Linked DNA regions of Arabidopsis thaliana. The protein of the gene in region 2 interacts with the protein of the main gene of each other region in a pairwise test. Each region holds a gene or a part of one and is shown on either strand. Other genes may lie near its edges.

The links.
Region 1: the proteins of MEF8S (region 2) and AT2G28240 interact in a two-hybrid assay, tested with the Arabidopsis thaliana proteins (one large-scale study listed by BioGRID).

The regions. Positions count from the first base shown.
Region 1 is NC_003071.7:12,036,130-12,044,766, reverse strand, and holds AT2G28240 (ATP-dependent helicase family protein), read right to left. Parts: upstream 5,560-8,637; 5' UTR 5,495-5,559; intron 5,154-5,494; 5' UTR 5,119-5,153; coding exon 4,780-5,118; intron 4,692-4,779; coding exon 4,595-4,691; intron 4,501-4,594; coding exon 4,283-4,500; intron 4,199-4,282; coding exon 3,985-4,198; intron 3,912-3,984; coding exon 2,797-3,911; 3' UTR 2,592-2,796; downstream 1-2,591. Other genes in the region: NCRK (Protein kinase superfamily protein), read right to left, coding at 12-266, 345-446, 527-619, 694-763; AT2G28230 (TATA-binding related factor (TRF) of subunit 20 of Mediator complex), read left to right, coding at 5,758-5,771, 5,872-6,283, 6,679-6,912; AT2G28225 (aspartic proteinase CDR1-like protein), read right to left, coding at 7,240-8,448.
Region 2 is NC_003075.7:15,657,128-15,665,106, forward strand, and holds MEF8S (Pentatricopeptide repeat (PPR) superfamily protein), read left to right. Parts: upstream 1-3,799; 5' UTR 3,800-3,964; coding exon 3,965-5,578; 3' UTR 5,579-5,752; downstream 5,753-7,979. Other genes in the region: AT4G32440 (Plant Tudor-like RNA-binding protein), read left to right, coding at 168-566, 831-1,520, 2,135-2,227; AT4G32460 (choice-of-anchor C domain protein, putative (Protein of unknown function, DUF642)), read right to left, coding at 5,909-6,435, 6,547-7,044, 7,660-7,732.

The sequences.
Region 1 (8,637 bases), on a different chromosome or scaffold from region 2:
AAATGATTGACCTGCCACTGAGGAGCTGATGCTAATTTTCGATTGTGAAACCGAGCTTTTACGGTTTATTAAGTTAGCAGAGCTATGCCAGCTAGATTCTCTATCTGAAGAGACTGAAGGGGTTTGTCCAGAAAACTTGTCCTTTCTACAAATGTAACAAATCATAGAGGCAAGGAATGCTAGTGAAATGAGTACACCGCAGAAGAGTAGTATAACTATAACGAGTTTCCTCGATAAATATTGCTTCTTTGAAGATTTTGTAGCACCTGGAAACAAGTAAGTAGACCAACTTATGATATAATCGACTAAGTTTGCAGTAGAACAATGGATATAGTAAACTATACCAGCAGAGCAGTTGCATGAAGTGAAGCATGACGAATTTGAACCACCAATGGCTATAACCGGAAATCCATTTGCAGGACACAAACATACCCATTGATCTCTGTCTGCTAACAAAAGAGAGAGTCAAAAAGTTAGTTTTCTCTAGAATATTGAAAATTTTCTAGTTGGTAAAGAGAAAACGAACCTGGTCTGCAATTACATGATGTGGAACAGTTAGATTCCAGGATATCACTTCGATTGCCCGAAGAGAAACACGTACATGTATAGTTGCTTACACCTAACAAAGAAACGTCATCAATTTAAATGAAACTCACACCATGTTTTTATATATGTTGCTGAGTAGAAACTAACCTCCATAACATTGTTGAATTGATATGAGAACCAAAAGGATCGCAAGTGCGGTTTCCACTCTCATCTTCATTGCCAGCGAGTGGAGATTAGATAAAGACCTTCATGTCGAACTAAGCTCAACCTCCAAGAGTGCAAGAATCTAAAACCTGAAACAAGTTATGTTTAGATTAGACCAGATTACAAGTAGAGTAGAATTTTTATAGAATTCACAGGTAAAACTACAGTGTAATGTGAATGAATGAGTTGGTGAACAGACATCGAAAAGATTCTAACTCTGTTACACCCACTATGAACCAAAAACATTCTATGATTTGGTCAAGAGTCTCCAATTCTTAAAAGGGCCCAGAGTTAGAAGAGAAAACAAGAAACTCATAGCGATAGATATACGGTCCACATCAATCATTTAAAGATCCATTGTCACTCATCTGATTCTGCAAAATCTTTAGTTCCCTCTAAAGTTAGTTGGCTATGTTTTCACATACAGACAACAAACATCATAACACAACAACCAAAACACTAAAAGAACCAAACAAGAGAGCTAATATAGATTACATTACCCTGCAAAGTGGTGAAGTTGAAGTAAGAACTACAGAGTCAAGAAAAGGAAGTTGCAGACAAGAGGATATTAAAAAGAAGTAATGGAGCATCTTGAAGGATATTGATTACTAAAATAATGTGATTAAAGAAATGATTGAGTATAGGATTAGTCAAAGAATGGCAAATACAATAATAAATGGAATGAAAACAGACCAACCACCAATAGAAAGAAACGGGCATTGCAAATCTGAGAGTGACCTTTCAACCATTATAGTAATCAAAGAGGCAGAATCATTGAAAAGCTCTTAACTTTAAACTGTTTACTAATGGCAAAATCTTTATATTATAATCAAAACATCTTAAACTTTACCAAAATTGATAAATATTAGATTTTGTGAATCTTAACAAGAACTATATGATGATACTGTAACTTAGCTCACATGACTCTTTCTTTATGAACTTGACATTGTAGATTCTTGATCCAAAATTATAGACAAACCAAATTAGATAGAGCCAAAAAGGACTTTGCTTTTAAGGAAAAGCAAAACGTTGGTCGAAGCAAACTGTTGAAATTTGTTAGGACCCAGAATTTCCGGTGTCGGTTGTCAGGAACCGGTTTAAAACCCGGTTTTTGATTGTGGGACTCACAATTCCCGGTGTCGGTTGTCGGAAACCGGTTTAAAAAACCGGTTTTCGATTGTAGGACCTGTTTCCTCCACCATTGACCGAAAAAATCTAACTTTTTGATGGAAAGAATCATGTCCCACAAATTCAATGATGCTCTCTCCAAGTAAAAGGTGAAGTTTTTGGGGAACCCCATTTCATGATTTCTTCATACATGTAGGGAAATGAATTGAAAACGCATATTTAATGAGAAACCCACCTTAATATGAAGAAGCAACAATGTCGATTTTTGAGGATTTGGAGCTTGCTACAGCTTATAGTAGAACAGAGAGTACCAGCATTGGAGCTAAAACGCAAACGCGAAATGGAGCAAAACCGCGTTTGTAGTTGAGTTTCCAGCAAAGATAAAACTTTTTCCTTGAAGGAGAAACGAATCCCTTTCCACAGTCAAATCAGAATGAGAATTAAGAAATCTAAAACGCGAAATAAACAGAGGAGTCCACGCGACTGCGTTTGCGTTAGCGTTTGTGGTCGAGTGGAGTCACTAAACTAGTGAACTGATGTATCGAGGGGGGCGATTTTAAAAAGAGTTCATTTATTAGAGATCGGGGTATGTCACGTGCCACGTGGCGCTAAATTGATATCAGAGATTCGCTGCATGAAAAATATTTTCAAAACTCGAAGTAAGGAGAAAAAAAGTATTTTGAAAATTCCTATAGAGTAAAAATAACAGAATTATGTAAATAAATTTTGATTAAACTGCAAATTTGTGAAAAATATTTTAGTTAACTTACTTGATATTCTCCAAAAAATTAGTATTCGAAATGATCCTTCGTACAAGGCATTCTCAAATGTTTTAAAGGGCCTCTCGAACTTATATATTCCCTTAAGAGAAACTTCAAAAACTATATACTGATGTTATATACTCCCAAAGATTTGTCACTAGTCGTCATCTGAGAGATAGACCAAGCTACTGTTTGACTTCTTTTGTTGTTGCTTTTGTTGTTCTTGAGCCAACCTTGGATATGTTGATGGTGCAGCAGCAGAGTTGGGAGCTCGAGATGATCTTAAATGAGGTGCCATGGTCCTTCGCGCTATACCATGCACTGGTGGAGCAGAAGCTGGTTGATAAGAAGTTGGAGTATGGTTGGAGATTAAAGGCGGTGGTCTTGGCTGAGGTGTGTTGCAGGGCGGTGATTGCAGAGATATAGCTTTTGATGTGACTGAGGGTCGAGGATGGGGAGTTGAATTGATTTCTGTGTTTGATTGTTTTGCTGGTGGTTGAGATACTGGTTTTGGCTGAGGCGTTTTGCTGCGTGGTTGATGTAAAGGACGGGCTTCTGTTGTGACTGAGGGTCGAGGAAGGGCGGTTGAATTGATGATATCCGTCTTGGATTGTACTGCTGGTTGCTGAGATATTGGTTTTGGCTGAGGAGCCTTGCAGCTTGATTGATGTAAAGGAGGGGCTTCTGCTGTGACTAAGGGTCGAGGAAGGGCGGTTGAATTGATATCTGTGTTGGCTTGTACTAAAGCTTTCTGAGGTATTGGTCTTGGCTGAGGCGTGTTGCTGTGTGGTTGATGTAACAGACGAGCTTCTGCTGTGATTGAGGGTCGAGGAAGGGCGGTTGAAGTGATATTTGTGTTGGATTGTGCTAATGCTTGTTGTGGTATTGGTCTTGGCTGAGACGTGTTGCTGTGTGGTTGATGTAAAGGACGAGCTTCTGCTGTAACAGAGGGTCGAGGAAGGGCGGTTGATTGCATCTGTGTGTTTGATTCTACTGCTGCTTGCTGAGATATTGGACTTGGTTGAGGAGTGTTGCAGTGCGGGAGAGGAGCTGAAAGATTTGGAGGTGTAGCTTCCGCTGCTGTGACTGAGGGTCGAGGAGGAGCAGTTGAATTCATAGGTTCAGCTGCTGTGACTGAGGGTCGAGGAGGAGCAGCCGAATTCATAGGTTCAGCTGCTGTGACTGAGGGTCGAGGAGGAGCAGTTGAATTCATATGCCTGTTAGTTTGCACTGCTTGCTGCTGCTGCGTTGAATGTTGAGAGCTCCTGGGTGCTAAAAAAAGGGAAGAGAATTAGTGTCGCTGTTTAGCTCATTTGCTTTATCCAATTATACTCTTCAACTTTACCTCTTACGGTAGCAGTATCAGTGGCTGCACTCTTCACTGGACAAGTAGACTTGTAAGCATTCGCCAAGAGACTGTTCATAACAACCAAACTCCTTAACGCTTCATTCTTCTTCGCTTGAGCGTTATACGCAGCATCTACCTCTTGGGATTTCCTATCATACTCACTGCGTGCTTCCGCCATCTTCCTCTCGAGTTCAGCCTTCAACTCTAATGTCTGCTTACAAACAACGAGACAATGAGCAGAGAGGACAGGAAACCGAATAAAGATAGATTAACCAAGAATTAGAAAAAGACTAACCGTCTCTTCAAAGCTTTTCAGTAAGGTCCCTTGTTCTCTGCTCAGCTTCTCCAGCTCGTGGTCACATATGTCACTGAACGAAGATAAATGTAACCGAGGACTCTGTCCCATATGATTGTTGGGAAGAGACGTAACCGCTGATGCATTGACTGTTAATCTGCTATGTAAGACGTTAGGAGGCTGAACACCACCTTCAACGACATCCTCTGAATGGTTAACTACACAACGATCACAACATACAAAAATCTTAACATTCTAGCACACCAACTATAATTAAAGCATAGCGATCACTATCAATGGGCAGATCCTGACCTAAAGGAGTCGATGTAGAAGTCCAATGCTCCGCTGCTGTTGTGATATTTTGGACGGGAACTGACGAAGATGGTGGACAACCCGTACCTTGAGCTCTCTGTAGACGAAAAATCTAATTCGTAAGCACAATAAACGATCTGAAACCAACAAAGAGTAACAGTCGTTTTCAAGAAGCAGCAAGTAACCTGATCTGATCTAGCAGAACCTTGAATATCTAATATAGAGGCATGGTCTGGAAAACGACTCGAAAACTCTTGAACCAAAATGGCATCAGCATCATGACTTGTTCTATTACTTTCTTCTCTAATCAACGGCGCTTCCTCTACATTCAAAGGTAACTCTAAGGAAGCAGCTCCGGAAACTGAAACCGGTGGCATCACTGTGTCACAAACCATATCTTCAGTCAAAACCTCAGGTATATTTGCTGAAGACACCATTCCAGGCCCATCTAGTTGAGTACTACCCGATTTACTCTGCGCTTTTGGTAAAGAATCTGTAACTTCTTGAGTTTCCATTGGAACCATAACATCAAATTGCTTTCACCAGTGAAGAGGTTTAGCTACACATCATAACATATCTCAGTCTATTAGAGAAAACAAAACCAAGCTATTCAAATTTACAATCTTTGAAGAACACAAACACACTAATCACCGAGAAGTTGAAAATGAGAGTGACACTTTAACAATCATAGTAGCAAAACATAGAATCAACGAAATTAAAACCATATTATATATAAAAATCGTAACTTTATTCCCAAATTTCATATATGCTAGATTGTGAAGAACCATTTTTTTCAATTCGATTTTGAAATAAAAAAGATCCGTGAAAATAAAATTGCGAGTTATTGTTTGAGAATTGAAAGAGAAGAAAACCCAGAACCGAAAATAGACTTAACCCTACCTTAAAATGAAGAAACAAATGTCGGATTCAAGGTTCTTCTTCCTCGTCTACGTGAAGTCCAGGTTAAGAACAGTTAATAGAATCAAGAGACATGGAGTATTTAATTAAGCTGTGTTGGGCCACATTTATTAAGCTGTTTTGGGCCTTCGGCCCATACCTCAATTTCGATTGGGTTTGTTGATATAACATATACATATGTTTTTTTTATTTTTTGTTGTGTCAGTTTCGAACAGTGTTTGTTTTGTCATTCTCCCTCAACAACAATGCCCGTCAAGTGGTAAGCTTTGATCCAATTTCGTTTTCCAAAATCTCGATTTTTTTCGTTTCTGTTCTGATTACTCTTCCGATTCTTGTATTTGGGTTTTGTTTTTTTCTAGGGTTTTACATTGGCAACCAAACCAAGGATCAACAGTAAGCAGCCAAATCCTAAACGAAGCAACACAATGTGTAGAGAGCATCAATGGTGTGAAAGAAGGAAGATGGAAAGCAACACTCAACTATTACAAACCCATGTTAAAAGACCAAGCGAATCAATTGGAGTTTCCTCGTGATTTTCTAGGGATTTCACTTGCGGATCAGCCGAATAAGTACTATTTCATTATCAGGACGCAGAGGATTGTCTTGGAAGCTGATTCTTCGATTCAGTTGATTATGGAGAAGCTTCAGTCTTATAAATCTAAAGTGGCTCTTTACTTTGATGGGTTTCAGTATCAGCTTGGTGATTTTAGGTTGAGAGTTGGTAAAGTTGTTCCTACTCATTCTGAGAATGTTAGAGGCATTGTCATGGAGGTAAACAAAGTTTCCAGCTTTTTCTTGTTTAAGACAGATATGATGAACACTGAACAGTGGTGATTAATTTTAAAGATGAAAATCTTGTTTTTCTACAGATTTTTCTTGTTAAAAGAGTTTCTTGTAATATCTTTTAGTGATGATCCTTGATGCTGTTTATGATGTTAAGACAGATGATGAAAATTGAACATTGTTGATTGTTGACTATGCATCTACAAGTTTCTTTAGTCTTGTTTCGTGTAATCACAATGATGATGAAAAAATCCTTGTTTTCTTAAATCCCTATAGTCTCAATGCTAATCTAATCACCTAAAGGGTATATGGAGCTGTTCCCTTTTGGTGATTGTCTTGTTTCTTGTAATCTCAATTTTGAGTTTGTGTGTTGTTACTTGCAGGTGGAGTATCTTCCTATATCATCAATGGAAAAGGCACAAAAGGTGATGGAGGAGTTCTTGGAGATATGGAATGAAGCTCTGGCTAAAAGGTCGTTGCCGGGTAAGTTTGTGAACATAGATCTCAACTTTGGGGAGTTTGGACTTGGAGACATCTACACTCCACAACACACAGCTGTTCGTTACGCTCTCGTGATGGCTCACATGATTGCTACCGTTCAAGCTGTGAGAGGCTAAACCAAAACATAACTTAGTATTTCTAGGTAAAATTATGTGCTTTGCAATATTAGTGATTTCTTTCTTTGGTCATGTTTATCTATAAGAAGCATTGAGAAAAAATGAACTTATAAAAGACTTTGATAGAACAAGTTGCAAACTCCAGAAAAAACTTGAGATTATAGCAGATTGTGATTTGAATTTCGATTAATTGTGTAACTCATTCGCATATTTTTTCATTTAAACATGTCTATGTCATATGCTTTTAGTGACAGTACAAATAAATCGAAACAAAACTGAAGTTAAAACCATGAAAATGTAGAAAAGAGAATCTCTTGGTTTGTTTCTTCAACTCCACAAAGCAGAACAATTAGTGGGACTGAAAGAAATCACATTTGAAGAAGGATCATAACCCACCAAAAAATTGTTCTGCGCTCTGTTCCCAAAGACAGCAGGCATTGACGGATCATTACACCCAATAGCCAAACAAAAGATTCCTCCGGTAATCGTTTCGAGATACATATTATACTTATCCAAGACAAGATCCGCACCGCCAGAAAAATGCATTGTGATCACGGGAAAGATATCTATGGTGTCCGAGTAGTAGCAAAGCAAGTTGTCACTGCCCATGTCAGGTACTTTAACTGCTGTCACAACCTGTTCCACTGCCTCCCTCACTAGGTTGCAGTAGCTCATTGGAAAGTACGTGAGAGTGGTTCCTGAGTCTATAAAAATGTTCCCGTCTTCGGCATGAAACGGTGTCCCCAATGTCGCAATCAGGTTGTCCTCAACGCTGACCGCGTCTAGGTTTAGATAATAGAAAGGATTATCTTTCTTGATAAACATATCGGCTGCTACCGTTCCATCTCCTGCCACAATGGCATTTGTTCCAAAATTGATCTTACTAGTTCCTTGACCAGAAAAGCAGTAAGAGATAAGACCTGGGTAGGGTAAGTCCATCTGAGATATAAGCGACAAAGGTCCCATATTTAGACCAACAATGCCGGAAGAACTCGATGCAAACCCTGAGTACTGGAGGTTTGTGTTGTCGAGGCCACAACCAATTTTTGTTTCAGCCATCACAAAGGGCTCTCCTGAAGTGGAAGGTATCGTGACCGTCTCGGTTGCCAAGATTCCCTTGGAATAGGTTTTGTCCGCGTAGATAATCTCGTAATGACAAGAGTTTCCATTGCATCTTTGTTCTCTGAAGGTTGAAGATTTCGAAGGGTCGAATATAGGAGCGAATTGGCTGTAGCAGTTAGGACAAGGCATACATTGTGTCCATATGATGTCACTTCCCGTGTCTATCTCCGCTACGATCTCGAAAGGAGGAGTACCGACTTGTAGTTTCATTAGATAGATGCTGTAGTCATATAAAGTATCGGCGTAAGGTGATGCTCCTTGCAACTGATTTTTGGACAGCCGAGACGAAGATGAATTCGAACGACGCTGGATCAAGTCAATGGTGAAGCCGTGAGGTGATGAGGCAGTGGTCGTGAAGAGAAAACATGTAATGATTTGAAGAAAAAGAACGATCATTGTGGTTGCAAGAGACATTGATTGATATCGAGTAATATTTTTGGTTTTTCAGACACAATGTAATGTTCTTTATTAATTCATGCACATATTTATACATGTTAGACCTTTTGTCGTAATTGTTAATTTTTCCAAATTTGTCAACTTTGTTCAATTTTGTTATTGCCATTACGTCTTCTAACTTGGGGGAATTTTACATTTTGTTACTAC
Region 2 (7,979 bases):
GCGGCTTTCTTATGATCTGTGTTCCAGAGTTTGTGGATTATTACATCAAACTATATGTTTTTAGAGTTGTTTGTTTTATTAAGAATGTATGATCTTCTGCTTTGGATGTTTGCTCACATATGGATATTTCTCTTTTGCAGGTATTCTAGTCGACTGAGTAAACAATCATGAGAATCAGAAAAGGAAGTAGAGTTGAGGTATTTAGCAACAAAGAGGCGCCTTATGGTGCGTGGCGATGTGCTGAGATTGTCTCGGGTAATGGACATACCTACAATGTTAGATTTTACTCTTTCCAAATTGAACACGAGGAGGCAGTTATGGAGAAAGTTCCAAGGAAGATAATTAGGCCTTGTCCTCCACTTGTGGATGTTGAGAGATGGGATACTGGTGAATTGGTGGAAGTTCTTGATAATTTTTCCTGGAAAGCTGCCACAGTTCGAGAGGAGTTATCTGGACATTACTATGTGGTTCGCTTACTTGGGACTCCAGAAGAACTCACATTTCACAAAGTTAACCTCAGGGCCCGAAAGTCGTGGCAAGATGAGAGATGGGTTGCAATTGGAAAGGTAATTTATTTTCATCCTATATGTTATGCTCTCACTTTTTACATCTAATATACTCTTGTTAATGTCTTTTTTTCTTTTCTTTTCTCCATTAAGATTTCCGGCTTAGTCATGATGTCCCCTCTTCCATTTCTAAGAAGTTCTGGGTCTGGTTGGGGGTGGCAATCTGCATTGTCTTGCTACGATATTGTTTGTTTGAAATGATTTTTTAACTAATGTGCTGATGAGCTTACATGTTGACTAACTGGCTTGTAATCATTTTCTCAGATATCTGGTTCTCTGAAGTCATCCACACTGACTGGATCAGACGTACATCAGAAGCTACAGCCCCACAGGAACAGCATGCCTCTCCACGAGCCTAGCGTGGTCTCTGCTAGATTGTTAAAGAGGCCGTCACCTTACAACTGGTCTGAATGTGCTGAATCATGTACAGGAAACCCTAAGAAGATGCGTTCATTGGAAAAAGAAGGACAGCAGCAAAAGGTAGATGCCATTTCTTGCCGACCAGAAAACAGGGGTGGTAAATCTCACGTGCAAGCTTCCTTAAACAATCACAAAACTGGTTACTGTCAAATTGTCAGGGTAAGATCAAAAGGGTTTAGTGAGAGTGTTCGTGCTGATGATTGTTCTGATAGCGATGTATGCTCAGTTGGTAGTTGTAGTGCTACTAGTTATGATGAGAGTAACATGCCACCTTGTATGCTAGATGGCTCTACTCAACAGGCAGACTCATGTAGCAGCGATGCTGAATCTTCTTGTGGCCTGGGGGAAGAACCAAGGTGGAAACATTCATCAGTTGGTGATGGAGCAAGAAATTCTTGTAGGTCGGAACTATATTCTTACCGCAGTACTCTGGGGGAATTATTTTCTTCTGGTCCCCTAAGTTGGGAGCAAGAAGCATCATTAACTGATCTTCGTCTTTCTCTTAATATATCAGATGATGAACATTTGATGGAGGTAAGAAATTTGATATCTACTGGTACCCGCAGTCAATTTTGTTAGTATCAATCAGAATTCAAATTTTTCTTTTTGATTTCTATGGTCAAGTCTGATCTACCTGTCTTGGATATACTTTCCTGAAATGTGGAATCAACTGTCATATATTGTTCTTTTTCCAGTGGATTTTATAAGTGTATAGACAGCAGATACAAGTATGTATGGAAATTCTGATTAGAATGAAAGTTTCCGAGGTTCTTTTCTATTGCTTTATCAGATTTCCCTTAGATTCCTTTATTGTAATTCCTGGAGGATGTTAAAGCAAAATTCATGTATCGATACTCTGAGATGTCATATTTTGAAGGGCTGTCTTCTGTTCATTAAATCTGTAATATCAATTTTATAGCACGATTTTCTGTTCCTCGTTTCGTGTTAACTTTCCACACTTGTGTGTTGATATACTTGATAACAAGATGGGTCAATCGTATTTTCCTATGTGGATTTTACTTCAGTGCAATATGAAGTCTGAATGTCTCATCTATTGAGTGCTCCTTCCTGTAGCTCTATGAAATGTGTTAGTGTGAGTTTCCTAGTCATTCCTCTGAACAATATTGATTTCCCCCTGCATTTTTCAGGAACAATGTTGCCTTATCCGGGCATGCAGACCTTTTGCTTCTAGAGGTCTAACTCTGATGCTGGGGTTTACACCTTCTCCCTTGACCATCTGAGTGGTGCAATACCATACCTGTTCTCCCTCAAAACATAACTGACTTCTATGCCATTTTTATTTTGTCGCTATCTTGATATTGCGGCTTGTTTCAGGGGCTTCTTTCAGGTGTCCTGGAGTCTACTTTGTCCACAGGGACTGAATGCTGTGGTTTGAGCAGGCTTCCTTATTTGCAGTCTGGTTGGATAATTTTGCTGACATCATGTCAAGTTCTGAGTAATATTTCTTTACACTTTTTCGTTCACTCGATATATGTTGCGGTGCTATCTTTTGTGGTGTTGTGTCTCCTCTGGTTGCTTTCTTAGAAGTGCATGATGTAGATGCTACCATATTTTTACTATTACTAGCTCTCTAAGCCTAATACGTTTAGATGTAGAACACAACGTTGTTTCAGTTACATTGGTTCTATTTTCGGTGTTTTTTCCAGACGCATAGCCTATTGATGCTTATTCTTTCTGGAAATAAGTGTTGTGGCCTACTGAGAGGTAAGTGTGCAATGGCATGAATGGGGTTAATGTAATAGATGCTCATCCAGAAAATGTGTTTGTGATCGGTGTTGATTCGTTATTCTGATTTGTTCTCATGACTTACTTTCATGGAAAATTATCGAGATGAACGGGAACACATGCCTGCTTTCTTACTTAGTTTGTCGCATGTGCATTGTGATCGGAGATTGTCCAAGCTCACTCTTCAGATGTCTCCAGCAAAGGTAGGTTGTTTGCATGGCAGTATGAAACTCTGAAGCAGAATCCATTAATTTTCACAAAGGTATGGATCCTTTTGAAAGATGTGTCGTGGTTCTTCAAAGTTTAACATGTTTTTCTTGAGTAGTTTGCTTGCTTATAGAATCAAAACGAGTTTCGTATCTTCAACCAGACTTTCTTTGGCAATTAGTTACTACTGCTACTTATGCAATGCAACCTCTGGCAATATTGATTGATTTGCGTTATGTTTTAATGGTTATGAAAACTGACTCTTCGATATAAGAACTTGTGAAGTAAAAACTCTATGTGATGAAATTATGAATGCTGAGGATGTTGTTATTACGAGCAATGAGATGTCTTTTTTTAAAAAAAAAAATTTGGTTGCTTGCTTGCAAGAGGACATCTTAGCATCAAATTTGAAACCGAAAGCTGACTCAATTCTGGTAACTACTGGCAGTAACAAGAAAACAAGTCATGAACCTGCAATTTCATTCTAATTCTACACAAGATGCAAATCTCAACTTAAATTCACTTTTAAAACTTGTTATTATTGTAAATTTTTTGAATAATACAGTTGGAAGTAAAAATCCACCGTACCAGTGTACCGGTAACGTGGAAGTATAAACCAATTCGCCAATCTCTTTCTTCCTATCACAATTTAAAGACAGCGACAAAATTAGACGGTTAGAATGCTGAGTTATACCGGGTTATTAAGATAACCTTTGTTTTCGTTAACCGAACAAACGCGACTGAGTTTCACTGGGAAAAAAAAAAAAAGAAGAAGCTTCTTTAGCTTTTGTGACGAATAGGAGGGAACTGAGTTTTAGGTTCGTCTTGATACGGCTTACTCTGTGAATCGAGAAGAAATTGAATTCGTTTTTTTCGTCTTTCTCTGCAAATTAACCCATTTGACTGTTTGTAGTTTCTTTCGCAGATTTATAAAGTTGGTCTTCTTCTCTTCTAATCGGATCGATTCTGCTTCCGGTTAACCGGTTTTGTTCCCCGGCGACAATCAGCAATCTCCTCCCCGGCCAATGATATACACGTTGACGAGAGGTTCGCTTCTCGGCTCTACCTGTAAGCTACGCTACTCTTCTTTATTTTCTTATCTGAGCACAGCTGCGCTGAGATTGGGTTTTGAAAACCCTACTAATGGAAATCCGATGGATAATTCTTCGCATCACATTGGTTATGTAAATGGGTTTAACGGTGGAGAACAATCGCTTGGTGGGTTTCAGCAGAATTCATATGAGCAGAGCTTAAACCCTGTTTCTGGGCAGAATCCGACGAATAGGTTTTATCAAAACGGATACAATCGGAATCAGAGTTATGGGGAACATAGTGAAATTATTAATCAGAGAAATCAAAATTGGCAAAGTAGTGATGGTTGTTCCTCGTATGGAACTACTGGAAATGGAGTTCCACAAGAGAATAATACTGGTGGGAATCATTTTCAGCAAGATCATAGTGGTCATAGCTCGTTGGACGAATTGGATTCGATTTGCAGAGAAGGGAAGGTTAAAAAAGCTGTTGAAATTATTAAATCATGGAGAAATGAGGGTTATGTTGTGGATTTACCTAGACTGTTTTGGATAGCACAGCTTTGTGGAGATGCACAAGCTTTACAAGAAGCCAAAGTTGTTCATGAGTTTATTACTTCTTCGGTTGGGATTTCAGATATCAGCGCTTACAACTCGATAATCGAAATGTACTCTGGTTGTGGTTCTGTGGAAGATGCATTAACCGTTTTCAATAGTATGCCTGAGAGAAACTTGGAGACTTGGTGTGGTGTTATAAGGTGTTTTGCAAAGAATGGGCAAGGGGAAGACGCCATTGATACGTTCTCTCGGTTTAAACAAGAAGGAAACAAACCTGATGGTGAAATGTTTAAAGAGATCTTCTTTGCGTGTGGTGTTCTTGGTGACATGAACGAGGGACTGTTGCACTTTGAGTCCATGTACAAAGAGTATGGAATTATCCCTTGTATGGAACATTACGTGAGCCTCGTTAAAATGTTGGCGGAGCCTGGTTATTTAGATGAAGCCTTGAGATTTGTTGAATCGATGGAACCAAATGTAGATTTGTGGGAAACCCTGATGAATCTATCACGGGTTCATGGGGATTTAATTCTTGGCGACCGGTGTCAAGATATGGTTGAGCAGCTTGATGCAAGTAGACTGAACAAAGAGTCAAAGGCGGGTCTTGTACCTGTGAAATCATCAGACCTAGTAAAAGAGAAATTACAAAGAATGGCCAAAGGGCCAAATTATGGGATTCGATATATGGCAGCTGGAGATATTTCTCGTCCAGAAAACAGAGAGTTGTATATGGCATTGAAGAGTTTAAAGGAGCATATGATAGAAATTGGTTATGTACCTCTATCTAAACTTGCATTGCACGACGTGGACCAAGAGAGCAAAGACGAAAACCTTTTCAATCATAATGAGAGATTCGCTTTCATCTCGACATTTCTTGACACTCCTGCGCGTTCGTTAATACGAGTAATGAAAAATCTACGTGTATGCGCAGATTGCCATAACGCATTGAAGTTGATGTCAAAGATAGTTGGGAGAGAGTTGATTTCGCGAGATGCAAAGAGGTTTCACCATATGAAAGATGGTGTTTGCTCCTGTAGAGAGTATTGGTAACGTCTTTCCACACAGAGAGGAGGAGCAAACACACATTTAAGGATTACAATGGAAACATGGTTTTAGTGTTCATTTTTTTTTGCAGGATGTTTTGTATTTGTCCACTCAGTGAGGAAGAAACATTCTTAAATCACAAGATCATAAAATTTCACGGTTCGATATGATTGACCAGAGTAATTTCTTTTTTCTTTGTCAAATAACATTAAGCTTTAAAACAACAACAAAAACAGTGGGCCACTGGGCCTAAAAGCCCAATTTCTCACTAGACGCGAGAAACCCACAGTGACTGTCATCATTCATTGTCCCGTGAATCAACTCGTCGCCGCAAGCTCACGGCCTCCGAGCACTGAGAAGCTTAACGTCGTCGATCACCGGTCCACATAAGCTCGAGAAATCGTCGTTTCTCATCGCGTAAAACGTACTGTAGAACATAACTCTAGTCCGACTCGAGACAGCGACGAATCTCAATGACGATCGCTTGAATCCTCCTTTCCCTTTCGATTCATACGGGACCTTGATCGTGTCTTTTCCGGCGAAAGCTTCGACGATCATTGATCCGGCGCAAGCGTTGCTAGCATCTCCGACAGAGAAGGATAGGACGTAGGTTTTTCCAGGGATAGTGCGGACAACTTGTGCGACGGCGCTTTCTTTCCCGGCGACGAGTTCGACGGCGCGACGGCCTTGAGGAACGGAGAAATGATCGGAATCTATGTATTTGACAGCTTTAAGAGACTCGACCATCCAACCAGGTAACGGAGAGTGATCGTCGATGGAGTTTGGTGGAATCAAAACACCAGATGATATGTTTGGTAAAACCCAAGGACCTTCTTCGAATCCTCCGTTCTTTAGAATGTTCTCTGCAAAACAAAAATAAACCCAACATGTTTTAGATATTTCCGTATTTGCCCCATTAAGAATATTTTTATTCAAACGAGACCCCAAATTAAGTATAAGAAAAGAGCACTCACTATTGGTGGGACGAGGAGGGAAAAGGGCTCGCATAGCAACACCATCAATGAGAGGTCCACAAGCAGGATCTTCCTCAACACCTGGATTATGTATCACTATATCTGCATAGTCACTTTGGGCCTTAAAAGCCCACGAATACAAATCCCAACCTGAGCTACTATACACTGTTTGTATCGGCATCACTGCATGGTGAGGAGCCACGGAAACGTTTAACCGCTCGTCTTGTGCGCATGTTCGAGCAGCACTGAACGTTATCGAATAGTACGACCCTTTCTTAACGCTGATTTTTTGTTTGATTGAGGCTTCGTTGCCTAGACGTACTGCGAATGCGCCTTTAGGCACGACAAGGATCATGTCGCCTTGTTTGTGTCCTGAGGGAATGTACTCGACAAAGCCTGAGAGTTCCCAGTTTGGGATTGCTGTTATGTTGATAACTTGTGTTCCTTTCATGTCCGAATGTCGTGGACCGAGTTCGAAGTCACCGTTTGGTAGTAGTCCTGTTTTGTTTTGTTAATGTAATCAAGTTACAAAAACAAAACTAGTTAGGGATTTGTTGTGAAATTTGATTTAAACGATAGTGATTTGCTGACAATAATATTTGAACTTCAACTGCATCTAGTCACCTAAAATTGACAGTGATTCTAGGTAAACAAATTCTCAATCTTGCTATTTTAGATCTGTATATGAATAAACAAGTGATCAGTGTATAATAATTGAATAAAAAGTTGGAAGTATGAAATATTTAAATGATTAAAAAGGTTAGTTACAGATGGGAAGGTGAGGGTAATTTAGTGACACATTTATTGAAAACGATTGACTAAACACCATGTGCATTTACAGATCTGTCTCGGCGTAGTGTTCAACATGTTCGTCAAGCTAATAGGTCATTCTTCATGATTTGTGGTGCAATATAAATGAATTATTTTGACGACAAACAAAATTTTGGACACACAAGTTATAAGAAGCTGTACAAATTTTTATAACACGAATTTCTTAAATACTAGAATATTGTTGGAACTCACTACGAGTTTCTTTTGTTGGTTTGGCTAGTATATAGACAAGATACGAAAATGCGAGATTTCTACGGAAAAGATAAAGAACGAGGGATTTACCATCATTGAAGCAAAAGGCAACGTAGAAGAACGAGTGAAGGAGAAGAAGCACTATCACTCCCATCTCTTTCATTTCTTTCGAATTTTTCTACCCCAAATTGATATGTTGTATAAAATTTTAAACTTTCAAAAAATAAAATAAGGATTGGAGAAGAGTGAGCGAGAGAAGGAATGTTTAGTGGGAGTGGAATAGAACGAGGAGGAGAGAGAGCTCTTATATGCAAAATTGTGCAAGAAAGGCCCCTTTCCTTTGTCTAAATTATGACTTTGCCACTAGTGACTTATGTCGGAACAACATTGGTCCGGTTTTTTTATTCATC